Macaca fascicularis: one gene and its partners. The protein of the gene in region 1 purifies or fractionates together with the protein of each later gene. This does not show direct contact. Links are inferred from orthologs where the notes say so. Each region holds a gene or a part of one and is shown on either strand. Other genes may lie near its edges.

The links.
Region 2: the proteins of DHX9 (region 1) and ELAVL1 purify together in Homo sapiens (affinity purification with mass spectrometry; 3 studies listed by BioGRID and IntAct, with this or other methods). This does not show direct contact. The link is inferred for Macaca fascicularis from reciprocal best matches to the Homo sapiens genes DHX9 and ELAVL1.
Region 3: the proteins of DHX9 (region 1) and NXF1 purify together in Homo sapiens (co-immunoprecipitation; 4 studies listed by BioGRID and IntAct, with this or other methods). This does not show direct contact. The link is inferred for Macaca fascicularis from reciprocal best matches to the Homo sapiens genes DHX9 and NXF1.
Region 4: the proteins of DHX9 (region 1) and HNRNPA0 purify together in Homo sapiens (affinity purification with mass spectrometry; 3 studies listed by BioGRID and IntAct, with this or other methods). This does not show direct contact. The link is inferred for Macaca fascicularis from reciprocal best matches to the Homo sapiens genes DHX9 and HNRNPA0.

What each region holds. Positions count from the first base shown.
Region 1 is NC_088375.1:40,419,264-40,423,524, reverse strand, and holds the end of DHX9 (ATP-dependent RNA helicase A), read right to left. Parts: intron 3,864-4,261; coding exon 3,663-3,863; intron 2,023-3,662; coding exon 1,656-2,022; 3' UTR 1,339-1,655; downstream 1-1,338. UniProt on the Homo sapiens protein: Multifunctional ATP-dependent nucleic acid helicase that unwinds DNA and RNA in a 3' to 5' direction and that plays important roles in many processes, such as DNA replication, transcriptional activation, post-transcriptional RNA regulation, mRNA translation and RNA-mediated gene silencing.
Region 2 is NC_088393.1:8,721,304-8,727,363, forward strand, and holds the start of ELAVL1 (ELAV-like protein 1), read right to left. Parts: upstream 3,825-6,060; 5' UTR 3,678-3,824; intron 1-3,677. UniProt on the Homo sapiens protein: RNA-binding protein that binds to the 3'-UTR region of mRNAs and increases their stability.
Region 3 is NC_088388.1:11,243,774-11,249,670, reverse strand, and holds the start of NXF1 (nuclear RNA export factor 1), read right to left. Parts: upstream 3,825-5,897; 5' UTR 3,738-3,824; coding exon 3,710-3,737; intron 2,367-3,709; coding exon 2,180-2,366; intron 1,960-2,179; coding exon 1,806-1,959; intron 1-1,805. Other genes in the region: STX5 (syntaxin-5), read right to left, coding at 5,849-5,897.
Region 4 is NC_088380.1:144,232,459-144,238,615, forward strand, and holds HNRNPA0 (heterogeneous nuclear ribonucleoprotein A0), read right to left. Parts: upstream 3,825-6,157; 5' UTR 3,531-3,824; coding exon 2,619-3,530; 3' UTR 1,043-2,618; downstream 1-1,042. UniProt on the Homo sapiens protein: mRNA-binding component of ribonucleosomes. Specifically binds AU-rich element (ARE)-containing mRNAs. Involved in post-transcriptional regulation of cytokines mRNAs.

The sequences.
Region 1 (4,261 bases):
CCTAGAGTTGTGAGCCCTTAAAAGGGACAGGAATTGCTCACTCGGGGAGCTCGACTCTTGAGACAGGAGTCTTGCTGATGCCCCGGCTGAAAAAACCCCTTCTTTAACTTGGTGTCAGAGGAGTTTTGTCTGCGGCTCGTCCTGCTACTATACCTTTTATGGGAGTTTTCACAACGTGCAAAGGGAGAGAAAGCATGATCCATCAATGGTGCTAGTTCAGTATGGCTAGCTACAGCTGTACAGCAGAAATGAAGGTAGAGCTGGAGTCAGGGGCTAAGAAGGGAGTTTAGCCTCTACCCTGCCGGCAGTAAGAACCATTGGTTTAAGTCAGGAGAGAGGGTATGAAATCAGATTCGTTTGGGAATGTTTACTCTAGCTGTAGTGGAGATTAGATTGAGGCAGGCCTGTAGGCAGGATCAGTTAAGTGGTTGCTGTGGCACTGTATGTCCAAACTAAGACTGAATAGAACAGAGGCAACTGATCTATAAAAGTATATTGAAAGATGTTTTGAGCTGACTAGAGGTGGTGGCTTAAGCAATTAAGCAGCTGAAAACTCCAAAGAAAACGGAGCAGAGAACACAGTACTGTCAGGACATAGGGTAGGTTGGGAGGGGAAGGAGGTCAGTTTGGAAAGCACTGAGATTTTTTTCTGTGGGATATTTAAGCAGAGATACATGTTCAGTATGCAGCTGCTTACATGGCTCAGAAAGGAAATCAAGGTTGGAGATAGACTTGTGTGTCTGTAAATATGTGCCATCAGCTTAACTGCTGAAGGTGATCTACAACATATATGCAGGATAAAGGACTTTGAAAAGGAAACCAAGACAAAAATATGACTTGCCCAAGATCATCCACATGGTGGAGAAAAGAATTAAGACAGACCCAGTTCTGTCTAATCCAATACCTTTGCCCTCTCCCATTGCTCAAATGAGAAATCTGCAAATTCACTGGAAACTGTAAAGTGTTATAAATGTATGAACATGTCTATTAAAGTGGCTTAAGAGTTCTAACGGAGTGATTATATTGCTTTTAATTGTCACAGTAGAAACTCACTTAGAAAAGAAAATGCTGGCCTTGGTCTTATTCAAAGACAGAATATGGGAGGAAGCCAAATGTTCAGCCCTAGGTCAAAAGTTTTATTCAGGTTTATGTGGCTTGTACACTTGCCAGTATTTACTTCAAAAGGTAACAATTCCAAGGTGATTTTTCTATTACAAGTAGTATCACTTAGTATACTTTTGAAACATGGTACAACTTCTCTGACATTTAAAATGAACAGATGTAACTGGCATTATAAAATTTTCTAATATATAAGGTCAACAAACTACACGGCAAGTATTCGGTGTAATACTTTATTTTCTACTGTATTAAACGAAAGCCAGGAAAATACCAAGTTATTTAAAGGCAAATCTTTACTCCTTAAAGAAAAAATACAAACTGTGGTATTTTTAAGATAGATCGTTATATTTTACATAATATAAACAAAATCACTAATGCATCTATATGCTTGGTTTCCTTAAACTACAATGAACCACAGAATGGGTGAAAATGCATTTACTTTTTGGTGGCAAATAAACATATTGGAAAAAACACGTAACACATAGCATGCCTTTTTTTCCTTACTGTCTACACACAGGAACTGACATAACCAAGATTTAATAGCCACCACCTCCTCTCCCCTGTCCAAAGTAGCCACCTCCATAGGCCCCCCTACCACCTCCTCGCTGGAATCCCCCAGATCCTCTGTAGCCTCCACTAGGCCCTCTGTAGTCTCCTCCAGAGTTGCCTCTAAAGCCACCTCGGGAAACTCCTCTATAGCCTCCACCAACACCTGCACCATATCCTGCCCGAAAGGAGTTGGGGCTGCCACCATAGCCTCCGCTACCATAGCCTCCGCCACCATAGCCTCCACTGGTATAGCCACCGCCATAGCCTCCACCGCTGTAACTAGAACCTCCCCTTCTATATCCGCTTCCATTGTCGTATCGGGCCATCTTGGGAGGACGTGGACCATCTCCATACCTAGGAAAAGCACAAAACCATCACTTCAGCAAAGCATTCTTATTATTTCCCAACCACTCACCAAATGCACACAGTTAGTTATATTTGAAAATTTAATACATAAAGGGAATGAAGCCAAACGCACAAATCGAAATTGAAACAAAATTGATCTGCTATTCTAAAACAGTCATCAATTATATCCATCTGTTTTTCTGAAGTTCTTTCTGGTTCAATCTCAAAGGTTTTGAATTTTGGCAGTATGTCATTACAACTTTAAGAAGTGCTCTTACTCAGGTCAACAACATAGTGTTCCAAGAAGGCAAGCATTAGGAGAGGGTTCCTGGAGCTGCCAATAAACTATTTGGTCTTTATCACTAAAAGTTTTCCTGCAATAATTCTGAAATACGATTTTGAAAAATGTATATCTAATTTTGAAAAATTCTATCTACTACTGTAATTTAGGCCACCACATATTCATACATCCTAAACTCTCTTACGTATATCCCTTTCTTTCTAGTTTCTGGACTACTATCCCTCATAGAAACAGATTATATATACAAAGGTTCCTTGCTTACCAGCCCTCCTACCAAAAATAATCTCTCTTCTCCTAAACACCCATGAATACTTAATTTGTTATCTGCCTATGATGCTTACTGAATTATCCTATACATTTAAGCACCTAGGAGGGCCACAGTAAAGCCTAGTAAGAACACTGTTTCAGGAGGCATGTTGCCTGGGTTTGAATCTGGTTCTATCAGTTATTAGTTGTATGACCTTGAGTCTTATCTGTGCCCGGTTTCCTTATTTATATTAAAGAGAATGAGGATAACCATCTACCCATTTTATAGACAGACCAAATGCAGTAAGTCATTTTTGATGAGGAATTAGAGGTCATTTTTGGATAACTGGAAGGATTTTAGTACAATAGCATATTATAGTATTACTAAAACACTTAAGGTTTTGGGGTGGTATTGTGACCATGTTCTTAAAAGATATGAAGTGTATTGATGTAAAATGTGGTAGTGCCTACTACTTCATCACAAATGATTAAGGAAATGTACAAAACGCTGAAAATTAGTGAATCTAAACAAAGACTATATGGCTAAACATTGTATCACTTTTCTGCCTTTTTGGCAAGTATCAAGTATTTGTAAATAAAAACTCATGGGCAAAGGAAAAAATTTTAAAACCTGAAGCAAATAAAAATTTTAAGAATTAAGATAAATTTCTCATTTCTTTGCTTTAAGATGTCCATGCTCTTAGTTGTTTAAGATAAACAAAAACACATACACATTGGATAAAGAAGCAATTTAACATCTCATCAATATTTTTTCTTTAGAGATGCCAAAACAGTACCATGGAAAAAGGGCTATCTGGGCTGTGTCACTTCCCTGTCATGTGACCTACTCTGAACTACGTATGTGTATTTGTAAGATCCTTTTCCAACACTACCAATACGCACTGATGCGGTAGACCAATTACTAACAAAGGGACTAACAAAAGTAAATGACATTTTTGTTCTGAGTTTGTTAGATGGAACTAAACTATCTGTATCTAGAATTTTACTTAATAAGGCTTCTATCACTAACTCTAGGAATTCTAGACCTATGAAAGATCTCTCCCCTCTACTTGGTTCAATGAGAAGTTAATATGGTACTCACCGTGTACTGCCAATCATAAGGTTGATACCAGCAGCTGAGGGTCTAGAGATTTGACGGATCATGTTCAGCATACGTTCATTTACAGGGTCCAACTGGCTGATGATAGCAGGTTGTTTGGTTACTTCAACAACAAGAGCCTCCATGGCTGCCCGGAGACCGGTGATACAGGCAGCAGCTTCATGAGATATTTGCAGTTTAATCCTAAAGTGGCGAAAAACATTAAAAGTAAGAGAGGGAGTATATGAAGAAAAAGACCATTATCTCTCAACCTCACACATGGCAAGTTAAAGAATAAATTTAACTTCTTAAGCATTAATATTTTTAAAAACTACTTAAAGTCTATCAAGCCAAATAAAATACAAAAATATATGTAATATATAATAAACAAAAAAAAGTCCGGCAATATGGATCATTCAGACTTATTATTTTTTGAGACACAGTCTTGCTCTGTTGCCCAGGCTGGAGTGCAGTGGCATGATCTTGGCTCACTGCAACCTCTGCCTCCCAGGTTCAAGTGATTCTCCTGCCTCAGCCTCCAGAATAGCTGGGACTACAGGTGTGCGCTACCACACTGGGCTAGATTTTTTGTATTTTTAGTA
Region 2 (6,060 bases), on another chromosome or scaffold:
GTTTCTGTTCATGATGACATGAGTCTGGCCATCGAGTTGTTCAGGATTGTTCCCTCTCCTGTGATTCCTTCCCCTGACATAAATGTCTTGCTGTGAAAAAAAAAAAAAATTTTTTTTTTTTTTTTAGAGATGGGATCTCACTCTGTTGCCCAGGATGGTCTTGAACTCCTGGCCTTGAGCAATCCTCCACCTTGGCCTCCCAAGTTGTCGGGGTTACAGGTGTGAGCCACTACACCCAGCCACAGATGTCTGTCTGACAGGTACCTGGATCCAGTCACTTCTGAGTGGTCTGCCAATCTTTCCTTTCCCTGGCACAGACAAAATAGCAACCACGTGCCAGGCACAGAGCATAGCATCAGGCATACAAAACAAAGAAGCAGTCCCAGTCCTGACCCTCAAGCGGTTCAGCCATTACGGGGCCACCTCAGTACTGCAATAGCCCATGACTAGTTTCTCCTTGTCTCCCCCCAGCCTCTCCACCAGGGTGAGCAGTGAACTAAAACTGCTCAGTAGCCACCCTCTGGCCTAGCCGCAGAGTAACAGCCAAGCCCTCTGCCCACCGGCCACCTGAGCACTCCTGCCACGACTACCCACTTCATCCTTCTTGCCCCTAAAGAATCCACGTGGTTCTTTGAACACACGATGTTCTCTGAACACTGCGATGTTCCACCTCCGGTCTTCGCTGTATCCTACAAAGCCCCACCCCATTGTCTTTGCCTGGGTAACTCCTCCCCACCGCTACTGCCTCCTCTCCTCCAGGAAGCATTCTGGGCTCTCCTGTGCCCATCCAGGTCCCTCTTCTGGGCTTCCACATCAGCCAGGGCATCACTCTCACCACACTCATCAGAGTGGGCTGAGATGACCTACACACATCATGCACACTCTCCAGAGCCTAGCGTGGGCCAGGACACAGCAGCGAAGCAGGGAGAGTCGTTCAGAGGCGGGAGCGAACCTCACTTCCCTCCCACAGGCTGGCTTCCGTCGGTCTTCCCCTGACCCACAGCTCGGGTTGGCCGCACCGCCTCGCTACTGCCACCTAGGGGCGCCAGTCGGGCGCTGCGCTTCTCTTGCCATTCAGCCTTGAATTCGATTCAATAAACTGAACGGGATGGGAACACTAAAGAGGGAACAGTTGATTCCGGTTGGGGGGAGGAAGAGTGGCAGTCAGACGAGGCTTCAAACGGCCAGTGAGCTCTGGGCTGAGCCATGGAGCCTGAGCAACGGATCTCCAGGTGGAAGAGATCTATCTCCAGGTGGAGGCTGCAACAGGCAGGGAGGGTTAGAGTTTGGCGTCTACATGCAGGGGCAGGGAGCGTTTGGGTGTGAAGGAACTGGTACTCCAAACTAAGGGCTTCTAACTTTATCTTTTAAGCCACGAAAGAGGTCAAGAAAACGTCTTTTTTCTGCCCAAAGATTTTAAATCAGAAGGGACACAATTAGATGTGCATTTACAGAACAGAACTCCTGCTGGAGTGTGGAAAGGGGAAGAGATTGGAAGCCGCGAGTGAGAGAGGCAATACATTTTCATAATTTCTTGTTGTTTTCATAAACAGTTTTTTCATAATTCTCATTTCTTTTACTTGAAATAGCATCATGGGCTGGGTGCGGTGTCTCACGCCTGTAATCCCAGGACTTTAGGAGGCCAAGGCAGATGGATCTCCTGAGGTCAGGAGTTCGAGACCAGCCTGCTCAATAAGGCGAAATCCTGTCTCTATTAAAAATACAAAAAATTAGCCGTGCGTTGTGGCGGCCGCCTGTAATCCCAGCTACTCGGGAGGCTGAGGCAGGAGAATCGCTTGAACTCGGGAGGCAAAGGTTGCAGTGAGTCGAGATGGCACAACTGCACTCCAGCCTGGGCTACAAGGGTGAAACTGTGTCTCCAAAAAGAAAGAAAGAAAAAAAAAAGCACCATGATCTCAGACTCAACACATCCAAACTGAAACTCTGTCTGCTCAAAACCAATGCGTCAACATAAACAGTATTATTTCCTTCCACATTTGGAGACGTTCACGTATCTCAACCTCTTTGTGGGCCTTGAAGTTGCAGAATTTGATAACAGATCCCAGCACAAAACTTTGCACACAGAAAATACTTGATGACAACTGAGTGGAGTGTCCTGGAGCCTTGCGATTATGGGAGCAATACAACCGGGTGGTTAAGAGTAAGGGTTTTGAATCAGAGTTCAAACCCTGGCGCAGCCACTTTAGTGCATGAGACTGGTCATATGAAGTGACCCATCTAAGCCTCAGTTTCTTCATCTCTAAAATGGAAATTAATGGAAATTATAACATCATCCGCCTCAAGGACTGGAGACAAACGTCCACAAAGTGTCGAGCTCATAGTAAATCCTCAATAAATACTGGTGGTTATGTATAACATCATTTATTCAGTGCCTACCAGGTACAGACCACGCACAACGCAACAGGCTTCTCAACCCCTTCAATCTGCACACTTTTGTCCTTCCCATTTGACAGATAAGAAAACTAAGGCTCAACAGAGTCAAGCTTGTTCGAGGTCTTGGGAGCATCTCCCAGGGCATTAGAACTTTTGGAGGAAGGGATTTAGTTCAGTAATGGTTCTCACCTGCGTGTATGAGAGAGTGGAAGAGACCCCTCCCCCACAACCCGGGACATCTGGCAATGTTTGGAGATCTTGTTGATCCTCACGACTTGGGGGATGGGGATACTGCTGGTATCTAGTGGGTAGAGGCCAGGAATACGGCTCAACTTCCTACATTGCACAGGGAAGGCCCCCACCCACAACCAAAAACTATCTGACCCCGAACATCAGTAGTGCTAACGTTGAGAAACCCTTCTCTAGCCAGGTCACTCTCCTGATCTTCCCACTTCTGGCCATCCGGATCTTAGATGAACACTTTCCAGCAAGGGGGCTCAGTCCCACCACGGGAAGCCCGTGCAGAAGTTGTGCAGAAGTTCTTCCCCACCTGCCCTGCACACAGTAGGGACCAAAACCCATTTTAACAAGCCCGGCAGCCCAGAGCACCGGAAAAGGAAGGAAGGGCATCCATCCCCCATTGTTCAACTGTGTGCAGTTTGTGTTTCCAACAGACACACACACATATTTTACAAATCCTAACGTCCCACGCCCCACAAACAGCTTTGTTAGAGATGGCGCTCAAAAAAAGATGCAGTTTAGATTTTTTCCCCCCCCCCAGGACTCCCGTGTATCTACTGAAGGGTTTGCACACTTCTCAAAGGACCTCGCACCGGCCGCGGTGCTCTGACAACGACCACAAAAGAATCTGTGGGATTTCCCGGGGGAGCGAGCCCGTGGGCCGTGACCTCTGCGCGCTCAAAGCGTTCCCCGCGCTCCCCCCGCCGCTGGCCCCACTCTCCCGCCCCCGGAGCCCGGGCTTCCAAGGCGACCTGAGCCCCCGGCCGTGCAGCCCGGCCCCCCGGCGCATGCCCACGCCGTATTCCCCTCGCCCGTCCCTCGAGGCGCCAGAGGAATCCGGCCCCAGGGCCTGTTGCCGGCGCCTACACCGGCCCGCCCCGACCCGCCCGCCGCGGCCCCAGCGCGCGTCCCCTCCCGCGGTCCGGCGCGGCCTGGGCCTCGGCCGGTGCAGGCCCGCGGGCGCCCCGCGGCCAGGCCAGGCGAGCTCAGGCCTGCCGCGGCCTACCCCGTCGGGCGCCGCCGAAGGCCCCCCACCGCCTCACCTGGACGCGGGCGGGCGGGCCCGGGGCTGCTCCGGGGCGGGCGGGAGGCGGCGGCGGCGCGGCGCTAACGGCTCCGCTCGGCCTCGGTAGCGGTGGCGGCGGTGGCGGCGACGGCGACGGCGGCAGCGGCTCCTCCTCAGCGCGCACGACCCGCTCCGGCCCGCGGACCGGACACGCCCCCCCGGCGCGCGCGCCCATTGGTCGGCGTCCGCCACGTCGCGCTGCTCATTGGCCGTCGTGGCTGTCGCGGCACCCCGGGGCGCGCGGGAGAGGCGGGACTTCCGGTCGGCGCCGCCTGCGAAGGGCTCCGCGGCCGGCGGAGACGCGGGCAGCCAGCGATGGCCGCGGAGGGGGCGGACTGGGTTCCCGACCTCGGAGGCTGACGGAAGGAGGTGGCTGAGGAGCGGCGCCTCTGGTTGAGCGCTCGCCGTATGTCCCGCACCTGTGTGACCTGCCGCCGCCGCCCAGTAAGGTAGGAACGGTCAGCGCGCCGGGGTTACGCGTACAAAACCTAGGTTCGAATCCCGGCCCCGACGTTTCCTCACGTAGTGCGGTTGGGCAGGAGCTGACGTCACCTTGCCGGGCCTCAGTTTCCTTTTCTGGTGCGCTGAGGAGGCGGGGCATGGAACGTGGTCAGAGCACCATCGGTGCTGGCTCTTTGAGCAAGCCAGTTCCCGAAGGCTCAGCCTCTCATTCATTCATTAAAATGTCATTGAGCGCCTACTGTGTGTCAGTCACTGTATGGGCAGTGAGCAGAAAAAAAATACCTGGTCTTATTGGGCTAACATTCTAAGCCAGCGCTGACCTAGAATGCCCTAGTAGAAATACATACAACCTACATGTTTAATTTTTTTATGCTTTAATTTTTTAAATAAAGATGGGCTCTGGCTCTGTTGCCCAGGCTGGTCTGGAACTCCTGGACTCAAGTGATTCTCCTGCGTCCGCCTCACAAAGAGCTGGGATTACAGGCATGCTTGCACTCTGCCTAATTTTGTTTTTCTTTTTTTTGTGTGTGTGTGATCTGAAAATAATAATCTTTTTATTTTTATTTATTTATTTGAGAAGGAGTCTTGCTGAGTCACCAGGCTGGAGTGCAGTGGCGTGATCTCGGCTCACTGCAACCTCCGCTTCCCGGGTTCAAGCGATTCTCCTGCCTCAGCCTCCTGAGTAGCAGGGACTACAGGCGCGTGCCACCACAACCAGCTAATTTTTGTATTTTTAGAGTGACGGGGTTTCACGGTGTTGGCCAGGATGGTCTCTCTCTCTTGACCTCCTGATCCGCCCACCTCGGCCTCCCAAAGTGCTGGGATTACAGGCGTGAGCCACCATCTGGCCTAGAAAAGCTTTTTACAGATTGGGTCTCACTGTGTTGCCCAGGCTGGAGTACAGTGGGTGTTCACAGGTGCAATCATCCCACAGGTTTAACTCCTGACCTCAAGCAGTCCTCCTGCCTCAGGCTCCCAAGTAGCTGGGATTATAGGCATGTGCCACCACACCTAGCTCAATTAAATGTTAAATTTAACATTTAATTGTTATATTTTATGGTAGCTAGCATTCTGGATCATCACGGTGCAATAGAAATATAAGCAAAGGAGGCCAGGCACAGTGGCTCATGCCTGTAATCCCAGCACTTTGGGAGGCAGATCACGAGGTCAGGAGTTCAAGACCAGCCTGGCCAACATGGTAAACCCCCATCTCTACTAAAAATACAAAAATTAGCTGGGCGTGGTGGCGGGTATCCGTAATCCCAGCTAATCGGGAGGCTGAGGCAGGAGAATCGCTTGAAACTGGAAGGCAGAGGTTGCAGTGAGCCAAGATCCTGCCTCTGCACTCCAGCCTAGGTGAAAGAGGGAAATTCCATCTCAAAAAAAAAAAAAAGAAGTATAAGCAAGCCACAGATTTGTCAGCGAGGTATGTAATTTAAATTAATTAAATTGTTAGCCATATTTAAAAATAAGTAAAAAGAAACAGGTGATGTTAATTGTAATGTGTTTTATTTAACTCAGTATGTTGAATATGTTATTATTTAAACATGTAGTCAATATTTTAAAATACAGGATATTTTGTATCTATTATCTTTCCAAAATACAAGATACTTTGTGTGTCCTTTTTCTTTCCTGCATGCTTTTTTTTTTTTGGAAACAGAGTCTCACTCTGTTGCCCAGCCTGGAATGCAGTGGTGGGATCTCGGCTCATTTCAACCTTCCCCTCCCGGGTTCAAGCAATTCTCCTGCCTCAGCCTCCCTCCCAAGTAACTGGGATCACAGGCACCCGTGACCACACCCCGCTATTTTTTTTTTTTTTTTTTTTTTGAGACGAATCTCTGTCTGTCTGTCTCACCCAAGCTGGAGTGTAGTGGCAGCATCTCAGCTCACTGCAACTT
Region 3 (5,897 bases), on another chromosome or scaffold:
TGGTGCGATCATAACTCACTGCAGCCTTCATCTCTTGGGCTCAAGCGATCCTCCTGTCTCAGTCTTCTGGAGTAGCCAGGACTACAGGCATGCACCACCATGTCTGGCTAATTTTAAAATTTCCTGTAGAGAAGGGGTCTTGCTGTATTTCCCAGACTGGTCTTGAACTCCCAGCCTCAAGTGATCCTCCACCTCGGCCTCTCAAACTGCTGGCATTACAGGCATGCGCCACTTTACCCAGCCCACTTACGCTTATAATCCCTCCAAAAAAAAAAATCGGCCGGGCGCGGTGGCTCACGCCTGTAATCCCAGCACTTTGGAAGGCCGAGGCGGGCGGATCACAAGGTCAGCAGATCGAGACCATGGTGAAACCCCGTCTCTACTAAAAATAGAAAAAATTAGCCGGGCGCAGTGGCGGGCGCCTGTAGTCCCAGCTACTCGGGAGGCTGAGGCCGGAGAATGGCGTGAACCCGGGAGGCGGAGCTTGCAGTGAGCCGAGATTGCGCCACTGCACTCCAGCCTGGGCGACAGAGCGAGACTCCGTCTCAAAAAAAAAAAAAAAAAATCAATTTTTTTTATTCTAAAAGTTTCAAGATATTATTTACACCTTGCCTGTCCCTCAGAGAACTTCATGGACTCCAAGCCCCATACTCAGCCTGAGCCAAATGAAGACATCCAGAGGAATTACTCCTTCCACAACCACAGTTTTCATATTTCTCTTCCACCCCTTCTCTGAACCTGCTCTAAGGTGTTGGAAGATACTGATTCCTAGGAGAAGAGACAGATACTTGACTATGGCGTAATCAGCTAACAAGAATAATTTTTGGGCTGGGCGCGCTGGCTCATGCCTATAATCCCAGCACTTTGGGAGGCCAAGGCGGGCGGATCACGAAGTCAGCAGTTCAAGACCAGCCTGGCCAATACAGTGAAACCTTGTCTCTACTAAAAATACAAAAATTAGCTGAGCGTGGTGGTGGGTGTCTGTAGTCCCAGCTACTCAGGAGGCTGAGGCAGAAGAATCACTTGAACCCAGGAGGCGGAGGATGCAGTGAGCCGAGATCACGCCACCGCACTCCAGCCTGGATGACAGAGCAAGATTCCATTTAAAAAAAAAAAAAAAAGCCGGGCGCGGTGGCTCAAGCCTGTAATCCCAGCACTTTGGGAGGCCGACGGGTGGATCAAAAGGTCAGGAGATCGAGACCATCCTGGCTAACACGGTGAAACCCCGTCTCTACTAAAAAACACAAAAAACTAGCCGGGCGAGGTGGCGGGCACCTGTAGTCCCAGCTACTCGGGAGGCTGAGGCAGGAGAATGGCATGAACCCGGGAGGCGGAGCTTGCAGTGAGCTGAGATCCGGCCACTGCACTCCAGCCTGGGTGACAGAGCGAGACCCCGTCTCAAAAAAAAAAAAAAAAAAAAGGCCGGGCGCGGTGGCTCAAGCCTGTAATCCCAGCACTTTGGGAGGCCGAGACGGGCGGATCACGAGGTCAGGAGATCCAGACCATCCTGGCTAACCCGGTGAAACCCTGTCTCTACTAAAAAATAAAAAAACTAGCCGGGCGTGGTGGCAGGTGCCTGTAGTCCCAGCTACTCGGGAGGCTGAGGCAGGAGAATGGCGTGAACCCGGGAGGCGGAGCTTGCAGTGAGCTGAGATCCGGCCACTGCATTCCAGCCTAGGCGACAGAGCGAGACTCCGTCTCGAAAAAAAAAAAAAGAATAATTTTTGTGGAATAAAATTAAACATCTCCACTCTGAGCGTGGCCTCCGATCTCTACTGTACCATCTACTTTCTCAAAGTACTCACTGTAATCTTGAACCAGTTCTTTGAGGTCCCATCCTGGCTGGTGCCAGCCCCTCCTCTCTCTGGAGGAGCTCTGTCTCTCCGCACAGTAACATGAATGCGATCTCGATCATGCCAAGTATCACCCCGACGGTTAGGTCGGGTGGTATAGGGGTTGCTGTGGGTAAACAGAGAATAAAATGACCACAAATGCTAGGAAAGTCTTCTCAAAGACCTTCCTGCACTGTGTTGGCGGGACTAAACTAAGACTGTTCAATCGCTAAGCTAGTCCTGGCATTTCTCACTATAACAGGTGGGAAGGAAAATGACATGGACAGTAAAAGGGCCATATAATCTCATGAGCCACTAAATTCAAACCAGACCAACTGGTCACTTACTATCGTACTCGGGGACCATCCTGGGCATCACTCATTGCCACATCTCCATCATCTTCCTCCAGGCGGGAAGACCGAATACCAGAACCGCCTCTTCCAGACCTACGGTTTCCTTCACCATATTTCCACCGGAAGGGACCCCGGCCTTTTTTCTTTCTTTGAGGGAAATTAACGCGTTCATCATCGTGTTCTGGAGTTAGAAACAGGAACACAAATTAGAAGTAACTGGTCCGGCTTGGTGTGGCAATCATAGTTTCTACTCTGAACTACTGGAAGAGATACATACTAACTACACAGGCCATCTCCATGCAAACTCCGCTGCCTGTCCACAGGAAAGAACTCTCTCTGTGGGAGGTCAGCATCAAGGAAAAGTTATTGGAAATCTGTGCAGGGCTTTTGAAAAATGAAGTAGAAACTGGAATTAGAAGCAGAATGTATAAATGTGAGACCCAAAAGTGTAAGTGAACACAAATCAGACCTCTGAAAGCCACCTGAAATCTGCCACTCAATACTTTGTCTATACAGTACAGATGCCAGTTACAAATATGATCAGTTTAAGGATCCTCTAAAAATTCTCCTTGTTCTCAAATTGCCACTTTGAAGTTTTCTGAGGAGCTCTTCGATTCCTTGGCCAGAAATGCCCTTTAACTCAGGAGACAATTTCTAGACTCAGGCTCTAGTGGTAGTGCCAGGCTAGGGTGCTTAACCAGGGACCCTGGAATGCTCTCCAGGAATATGATCTGATTCATGCTGTGCAGGACTAGCGTCTTAAAAAGGGTCCCTAACTCCCAAAAGAGATCTGCCTAATACCGAGCACTCTGTAAACAATGAATCTCAACAAATGACCCTAGGAAAAAAGAACACAGAAGGCGCAGCTAACATTCATTGAGAACTGTTCTCCAGTACCGGCCACTATGCTTCAGGCACTTGATAGGAATGATCTCATTTTCCCCCCTACTTCCCCCCCAACTCTTAAGAAATACTGTTGTTATTCCACTTTAAAGGGGTGGAAGAGGAGAGTTTTAAATTCACGGTTTCAACCTCCACCATGCACTCCTAACTACTACAAAGAACTAACACCCAGTGTAGTGTTCAGACTGGAACATCCAGTTGATGTGTAAGTCTCGAATATTAAGCCAAAGCCCAGGCCCGAGGGTTCAAGACCGACTGGACGCAGTAAAAAATAGGGCACCAGGGCAGCCCATGAGTAGGGCACTAACTCACATTAAAGGAAGAGTCAGGCCGCCAAACCGAACTGACAGGCATCAACCACCCACAAAGTTCAAAGGAATCCCGTCCCCCTACCCCCGAGCCACCCGCTCCGAGCCGCAGGTCCCCCAACACCAGGATTCCAGGAGGAATCCAGGAGTCAACAACTCTGTAATCCACCTCGAGTGCCCCCGACCCCCCGCGCGCCGCTCCCCGCGGACGCCGGGCCCCTGGCGGCCTCACGCCCCGGAGGCTGAGGCCTAGGCCGGCGCCGCCCACCCGCGCCCCAGATAGCCGGTTCCCGACCCGAGGACCAGCACTGACCGCTGTACGACTTCCCCTCGTCCGCCATGCCACAGCGAAGAGCAAGGGCGGGCTCAAGCGCTGGCCGCTACGCCGGCAAACGACCGAACGCCCAAGCACTCAGGACCGAAGTGTCCCTACGCCGGGCGCCACCGCATTTATATAGCAAAGCACGTCGCGCGCCGCTGACGTCCCAGGCTGGAGGCAGTGTCGCCGCCCGGAGAAAGCGCGACCCCCTGCGCGTGCGCACACTTAAGGCCGTCGTGCGAGGGGCGGGGCCTGACCCTCCGCGCCCCGCCCAAGACCTGAGCTTGCGGAACCCCGGCTGGTAGCCAGCAGGTCCCCGCATGTTTTCATCTGTCCGCTGACGCTGCCCTGGCAGCTTGAGTTAGTGCTAGAGCAGAGTGCTGCCGCTGCAGCCCAGAACTCAGCGGGGAACGGGGCCGTACCAAGGGCTTCCGAGGAATGGAGACCGCGCCTCCGGGTGGGAGTGATGGCTCAGACCCCTACCCGCATCTAGCCAGTGTTTCAGCTCGGCTCCTTGTCTATGCCTCGCTTTCTTCGCCTATAAGATGGATTAACAAATCACGAAGTTGAGAATTAGAATGTGAGCTCGAACGTTGACTAAAGGCTTTTTTTTCCTCGAGGGCTTGACTCGGCAGGTACTATGCCTGGCACATAGTAAAAATTCAACATGTATTTGTGAAATAAATGAATTTCTATTCTGTGAATTTCCCCCACCCCACCCTGAGTTGCTGAGTCAAATGAGACGACATCTGTCAGGGGTTTGCCGAGCATTGTCTTCACAGACCATCAATGGCGTCCCCTGTTAGAAACCCATCGTGTCAACGGGGCAGACAGTGAAGCTCACCAGCAGTGGCAACTTGCTGGAGATGCCGAGGAGGAGGACATTTTAAAATATCAGGGCCTTGGGCTCTCCTAGACCCCCAAAAGCACCACCATCAGCCCCTGATTGATTGTTGTCTCTATAGCTTCAGCTTCCTTTGGAATGTATGAGACAGGGGCACTGGAGCGTCCTCAGAATGTGGTTGCGAGTCTTGGTCAGGAAGAACAAAGCACATTAATCTCTCTGGACGGTGGGTATTTTGGGCAGGTGTCTCCTCCATTCTCTGTGACTGGCTTTGATTTGGTGAAGTGCTTTGAGGGAATCAAAAGCCTCAACTGGAGTTGGGAACAAATTCTTCACCTTCCACTCCTGGCAGCAGGCAGAGCTTCTGCCTTGCTTAGCTCAAGGAAGAATTACGGCCAAATAGTTGGAGGATACAGATGAAACAGGTCCAAACACTGTTTGAGATGGTCTTGGAAGCTGCCACCAATCAGGGACCCCCTCTGGGATCCTGCTTCTGTGTGAAAGGAAGTTTCCACGCTAATCAAGTGTTGCAACACTTGGTTCTCCCCTGTCTAGAGGCAGCTGTGTGTCAGAGCCCAAAATAGCCTGCCTCAGCAGTGATACCTGGCACAGCCATTAGCCCAACCCTTTCAGTTCTGGTACTGGGCAGTGGGCTCACTCCACTCGCTGCCTAGGCCCTTCGACGCTCCCACCCAGAAATGATGACATGGCTAGTGAGGCTGACAGTCTTGCTGTAATTAGGAGAAAACGGGCTGCAGCACATTTGGCAGATTGAGAGTCACCAGCAGCCAATGTCAGGGGTTGTGCAGGCAGCTGAAGGGCTCAGGGTTCCCTGCCCCACATGGTGAAAGAGGAAGAAAGAGGTCAATTGGGAAAATTGGTCCCTGGGGCTGCTTCCTCTCTTCACTCACAGGAAGGTGGGGAAAGGCATCATCTCCCTTTGCTGCCAACGTTTCCTTTGGGAGAGGCTGGAGAGGGTTTATAAAAGTCTCCTAGTGGAGACAACCTACCCCACTGGCCCCCAGCTGGCCTCTGTTCCCTTCCAGTCACTTCACACACAGAGTCCAAATCTAGAACCCTGTGTGTTTCATAGGCCTGAGGGTGGTGGGGGGAGGACAGGGTGGCCAGAGGCAAGGGGTGGGGGGTCAGGGGCAGTGGCCATTCTTTGCAGTTCCAGGGAAACAGGGCCTTTCTCCCAAGCACCCTGCATAGGCTCAGTGGCAGCACTGGCCACTTGCCTTCCTAGGAGGGTCCCAAACCCCAACGGAGTGCCTCAGAGTGGAGAGGGTTCAAGCAAGGAAGACCACAAAGATGATGAAGAAGACAATGAGGATGAGG
Region 4 (6,157 bases), on another chromosome or scaffold:
TCTTAAATCTGAATAATGTTCAGATAATTCTCATAGGTGGAAGGGGTCAAAACATACAACCAGTTGTCCGTCCTCCCCAAGTCCCACATGCCAAAATGCTTTTGCATATAAAGTGACAAGAGGAACCCAGAAGTGACTAAATACCACTATGCTTTTTTCTTCACTACAGTTTATAGCAATTTTAAGGGTAGACACATGACAATGAAGTGTTAATATACCATGAACAGGACAGGTTGCCTTCCTAATAAACAGAAAATCCTATTACATAATTCAATTGCAAACTTTAGAAGCCACTATATTCCCATGTTGGGAATATAAAATGACAATAACCTTATTAAACTGAAAACCCTGAGAAAGGTGAACTACTATTCCAATTGACCCAGGTCTTCCCACCAAAACTGAGTAAGTCAAGCAGAGTAGTATTTAACAATTGCAACGAAAAATCTCAGAATCATTTTCTGTATCCTAGAGGCCACTCTACAGCCAACAAAAAGTTGGACCAAATTACCAAATGAAGTAGCCCACATGTAATTTGTATATCACTAGAATTAAAAAAAAGACAGAAATGTATGGAAACTGTAGATTTGAGAGCAAAGGATTTGACTATGTGTTAATCACATCAATGTGCAAAAACATTCACCCCATTTGTCAGAGGATATAACACTATTTGTACCAAGCATCCGCTACCCTTTGTCAAAGTGACTACTGAGCAGCCATAACTTAGCCTAATAATCTTAACCTTTCTTCATACTTCTTTAAAAGCCCTGTCAATCAGAAAAAAAAAAAAAAATCTGGCAAGAACTAGACCTTTAGGAATTGAACAGTGACAAAAAGTTAAAAAATGGTTCAATATTAAAATATTATTTTATTTTAAAGCCCAATAATCTTTCAGAAAGTTTCTTAGTATAGCTTTGAGCCTTCAACATCAATATTTAAGTCAAATATTTAAGTTAAATATTATCATAACATCAAGTTAAGCACACTAGATTAAAAGGTACTCTGAACCCACCCACCAGGTTATACATACTCTCACTCAATCATGTAAAGAATTGAATTCTTTATTTGTGATATCCATAAACGTTGCTATTCTATATTTCTATTCAGAAAGGCAATTTTCTCCTATTATCAGTTTTTTCTTCTCTTATAAACAACAACTTGAATGCTATTGCATGAAAGGGCTACAAATATACATTTGTTAACCAAGCAGAATACACAGATATTTTGCTTTACAACTTGCACCTAAAATACCAGTATACGTAGCTGGTTCATTAGTTGTCATAGCAATTTAGGGCTATTGCCCAAGCTATGCATAGCAGTTTACATTTTCAAACCTCATATAGAAAGGGCAATTGTGATATGAACTGGCAACTACATTCCTGTGAAGCCCATCTCAGTTACAAGCAAACGTGTAACTTCCAAGTCTGCAAAGAATTCTGATGGCAAAACTTCTATATCTGATGCAATTGTCCTAAGCAAGTTTTTAAACAAATTGTTTCGCAGCTACTCTGCCATTCTGCCAGTAGGTGGTGCTACAAAGATCGGGAAAAGGATTTCCATGAGGACAACAGTTCAGATATAGGGGGGGGAAAAAAACCGTTTAAACCTGCTCTGAAAGTACAAAAACGCATCTGAGGGTAAAATATAACCCTTATTTTTAACCATTCATTACAGATAAACCAGTAAGAGGGATGAAACTAGGCCATCTGAAAAATTTTAAACAGTTTATATGAATGACATGCTTAACACAAACTATATAGAACTACACAGTACACAGTTTGAAGTAAATTGTCATAGAAATGACCAACCATGTCAAGATGGTAAGCAAATCGCTTAGTACAAGAGATGGATGCACAGAAACTTAAGAGTTTAAAAAGCCACATCCACCACTTCAAAAGTTTTGCCTGTAAGGGATATAATTCAACACGCAACTAGCAGGGCAACGGGGGGCGGGAGGGGGACCACAGGACCTCTTAAGTTTCTCTAAGTACACATCAAGAATAAAGAATTAACACGTAAAGTCTTAAACAAATATCCCTTAAAAACGGTACGGAATGGATCCTAGAAAAGAAATGTTAGACATGTACGGTCAAACACAATGATTTATTAAAAATAAAACGTAAAAATGATTTTTGTACATATGCTTCCAAATTTCAGGCATGGGATCCAAGTAGATTTCATAGAAAACGCTGTAGCCAGGTTATCAAGTCCTTACAACAAAGTAAACTACCCCCCACCCCAACCCCCGCCCAGGTTTTGCTACAGAATCAGCAAGTTCACTCCCTCCCTCCCCCCAAAAAACACAAATTAAAACAAGACATTTTGCTAGTATAAAAACGACCAAGGTCCAAGTAATAATAAAAAAATAGAGTCCATCAATGACTGTAACACAAAAATGTGTATGTGGGGCCGAGTCCATCTTCAGAGGGAGAGACAAGAGAGGTGGCAGGCAAATAGAGGAACACCCCCAAGGGTAAGCAGCCTTAGAAGTGGCTCCCCCAAGGGCAAAACAGGGAAGGCGGTGGTGTGGGTGTGAGGGGGTGGGGCTTAGGAGTTGACCCCACTTGGGTTTTTGAAAAGAGCTACCCCAATAGCCACTCCCAGGCATTTTAAATTTTCTTTTAGAAGGAGCTCCCTCCATAGCCACCCCCACCTCCATAGCCGCCTCTGTAAGGTCCACTATTACTGCGACCGCCCCAGCTGCTGCCTCCGCCGCCGCCGCCGCTCTTCATGGGCCCGTAAGAGGACTGATGCTGACTGTAGCTGCCGAAGCCGCCGAAGCCGTTACCGTAGTCGCTCCCACCGTAGGACGAACCGCCGCCGCCGCCTCCGTAAGCATTGTAGCCGCCGCCACCGCCGCCGCCGTAACCACCGTAGCTGTTGTAACCGCCGCCGCCGCCCTTGGAAAGGCCGTTCTGGTCTCGACCACCGCCGCGCCCCCGGCCGCCTCGGCCGCCCCGGGAGGATCGGGAGCCGCCTCCACCCCCACCGGAGTAGATATCCTCCTTGGGGACTGCCTTCTTCACCTCCACGCGATGGCCCTGAATCGGATGGAACTTGACCACCGCGGCCTTGTCTGCCGCGTCGTGATTCTGAAAATACACGAAGCCGAATCCACGCTTCTTGCCGGACTGCTTGTCGGCAATAATCTCGGCCTTTTCCACGGTGCCAAACTGCGAGAAGTGCTCGATCAGGTCGCCCTCAGCCACGTCTCCCTTAAGGCCGCCGACAAAGAGCTTCTTAACCTTGGCGTGGGCACCGGGCCGCGCCGAATCCTCCCGGGACACCGCCCGCTTCAGCTCCACAGTGTTGCCGTCCACGGCATGGGGCGAGGCGGCCATGGCGGCGTCGGCCTCCTCCACATTGGAGTAGGTCACGAAGCCAAAGCAACGGGAGCGCTTGGTCTGGGGATTCACCACCACCACGCAGTCCGTCAGAGTCCCAAAGGCCTCAAAGTGGCCGCGCAGGCCCGACTCACTCGTCTGCACATTGAGGCCGCCGATGAACAGCTTACACAACTGGGAATTCTCCATCTCCAAGGCTCGGGCCTTGCCCCCGCCCTGCGAGCTCCGAGGTTTCGCCGTCGCCGCCGTTATCGTTGGTTAAGGCCTCTACACAGCTTGGGCCCAGCCGCTGCTGGAGCCACCCCCGCCGGTCACCGACAGGGAAGGGAAAAAGGGAAGGGGAGGGAAGGAAGGAAGAAAGGAAGGGGGAGGGAAGGGGAGCGGTGCCGGCGAAAGGGCGAGCCGAGGAGACTGGAAGACAACCAAGGCCACCGCTACCGCCGCCGCCACCTCCGCTCCCCTATCTGGGCACCACACAAAGAGGCCGCTGAACGCGCGCGCACCCTCCCCGAGGCGTGCGTCACCGCCGACGTACGGCAGCCTAGGGCTGCCCTCCAATCCCCGCCTCGCTCCCCTTAATCCCGCCTACCGCGCCGCAGCGCCGCTCTAGATCACGGACTCCCCGCCCTCCGCGGTCTATTCAAGCCCGCGGCCTGTGCCGCTCCCGCCTCCCCTTCTGCCAGCCCGCTCTCATTCCCGAGCGCCCTATTGTCACTTGACATGGGTCCCTCCCTGCCCTCCGCGCACCGCCGCGATTCATTTCCTCCTAGCACTGCGGCTGTTCCCAGTGTTTCTCCCCCTCCCCTTTCCTCATCTCCGCGCCCAACTCCGCAGTGGCGTTCGCGCCAGCCCCTTGAGAGACATGTCAGTTCAGCCAATCACCGTGATCCCCTCGCACCCACTTCCGTTTTCGGCAGCTGTTGGACGGGCGCGCTCCCCGGTGCGCGCTTGCCCCGGCGCCCCCAGCATGCAGAGCCTGTCTGCCACCCCCTCGCCTTCTGCAGCCCAGGGCTTTGCAGGGGAGAGAGCAGGAGGCGCGCTGGGGGCCATTCCCAGCGGATGCGGCCTGGGGCGCCACGCGCGGGCTTTTTGAAAACTTGACGTTGGGGTTGGGGGCCCGGATCTACCCGCCGCCTTTCCGCTTGTCCGCTACACCTGGCGTCCCCGCCCCACCTCCCGCCCGCACAAAGATGGAGGGCAGAGGCCTGGTCCACGAAGGCGGTTATTAACCGTTTACGGTGGGCTGACATGCGGTTAAACTAAAACTTTGCCACGTGGCCCTGCGCAAAAGCGAGCCCGAGGCGGCGGTGTGAAAGACAACGGAACCAAAGAGCTTCAGACATTACGAACCAGACGAGGCGCGACATCCCTGCCACCCTCCCGCCATCCTTGAAGCCCTCCCACGACGCCCTCTCAGAAGGAGGCCCTTTCAGGTCCCCTTGGCATACTCCAAAATTTTCATTTAACCTCAGTGAATGGGTTTTTATGTGTAATTTACATCATCCATGTGTTGCTTTCTTTCAACTAGAATGTTAGTTTTTTGTTTTTTTGTTTTTTTTTTTTTGAGATGAGTTTCACTTTTGTTGCCGAAGCTGGAGTGCAGTGGGGCAATCTCGGCTCAGCAGCCTCCGCCTCCTGGGTTCAAGCTGTTCTCCTGCCTCAGTCTCCTGAGTAGCTGAGATTACAGGCGCCCACCACCATGCCCGGCTGATTTTTGTATTTTAGTAGAGATGGGGTTTCACCATGTTGGTCAGGCTGGTCTGGAACTCCTGACCAGGTGATCCATCTGCCTCGACCTCCCAAAGTGCTGGGTTACAGGCGTTAGCCACCGCGCCTGGCCTAGAATGTTAGCTTTGCTTGTTTTTTGTGTTTTGTTTTGTTTTTTGTTTTTTTGAGACGGAGTCTCGCCCAAGCTGGAGTGCTACGGCACGATCTTGGTTTACTGCAACCTCTGCCTCCCAGGTTCAAGCGATTCTCCTGCCTCAGCCTCCCGAGTAGCTGGGACTACAGGCACGCACCACCACGTCTGACTAATGTGTGTATTTTTTAGTAGAGACAAGGTGAACATGTTGGCCGGACTGGTCTCAAACTCGTGACCTAGTGATCCTCCCGCCTCGGCCTCCTAAAAGTAGAATGTTAGCTTTTTAAAGGTGTTGGTTAGACGAAGTTTTACAGAGAGAAAGAGAGATCATATAGCCCTAAGTCACTGCTTTTAGTGCCCTCACTCAGATGGGAATGGAAGAAAATTACAACGGCTTCCATTTATTGAGCCTTTGTGTGCCAAGCAAGATACATGGGGTGGGACATAGTTAATATGAGGCATTACGTGACCAAAAGCCTCCAAAACTATATGGTAAATACTGAAGAAGTTAAGAGGAATTCCTCACCGTATCCTCAAGTATTCAGGAAAGATTTAGGAAAGAATTGGAAGTTGCACTGAACCTCAGAGCCAAAGACTAGTTAGTATCCTAAACAAATTAAGGCTGGAACAGAAAACCAAATACCACAAGTTCTCACTTATAAGTGGGAGCTACACATTGAGTACCTATGGACACAAAAGAAGGGAACATTAGGTCTTTTTTAAGGATGGCGGGTGGGAGGAGGGTGAGGACTGAAAAACTACCTATGAGGTATTATGCCGGTGACTTGGGTGACAAAATTATCTATACACCAAACCCCCAAGACAATTTACCCACATAACAAACCTCCACACGTATCCCTTGAACCTAAAATTAAAAATTGGAAAGGAAAAAAAAAAAGATTTCTATATGGAGTTTACTTGAGCAAAATCCAGAGGGAACATAAGCTTCAAGAGA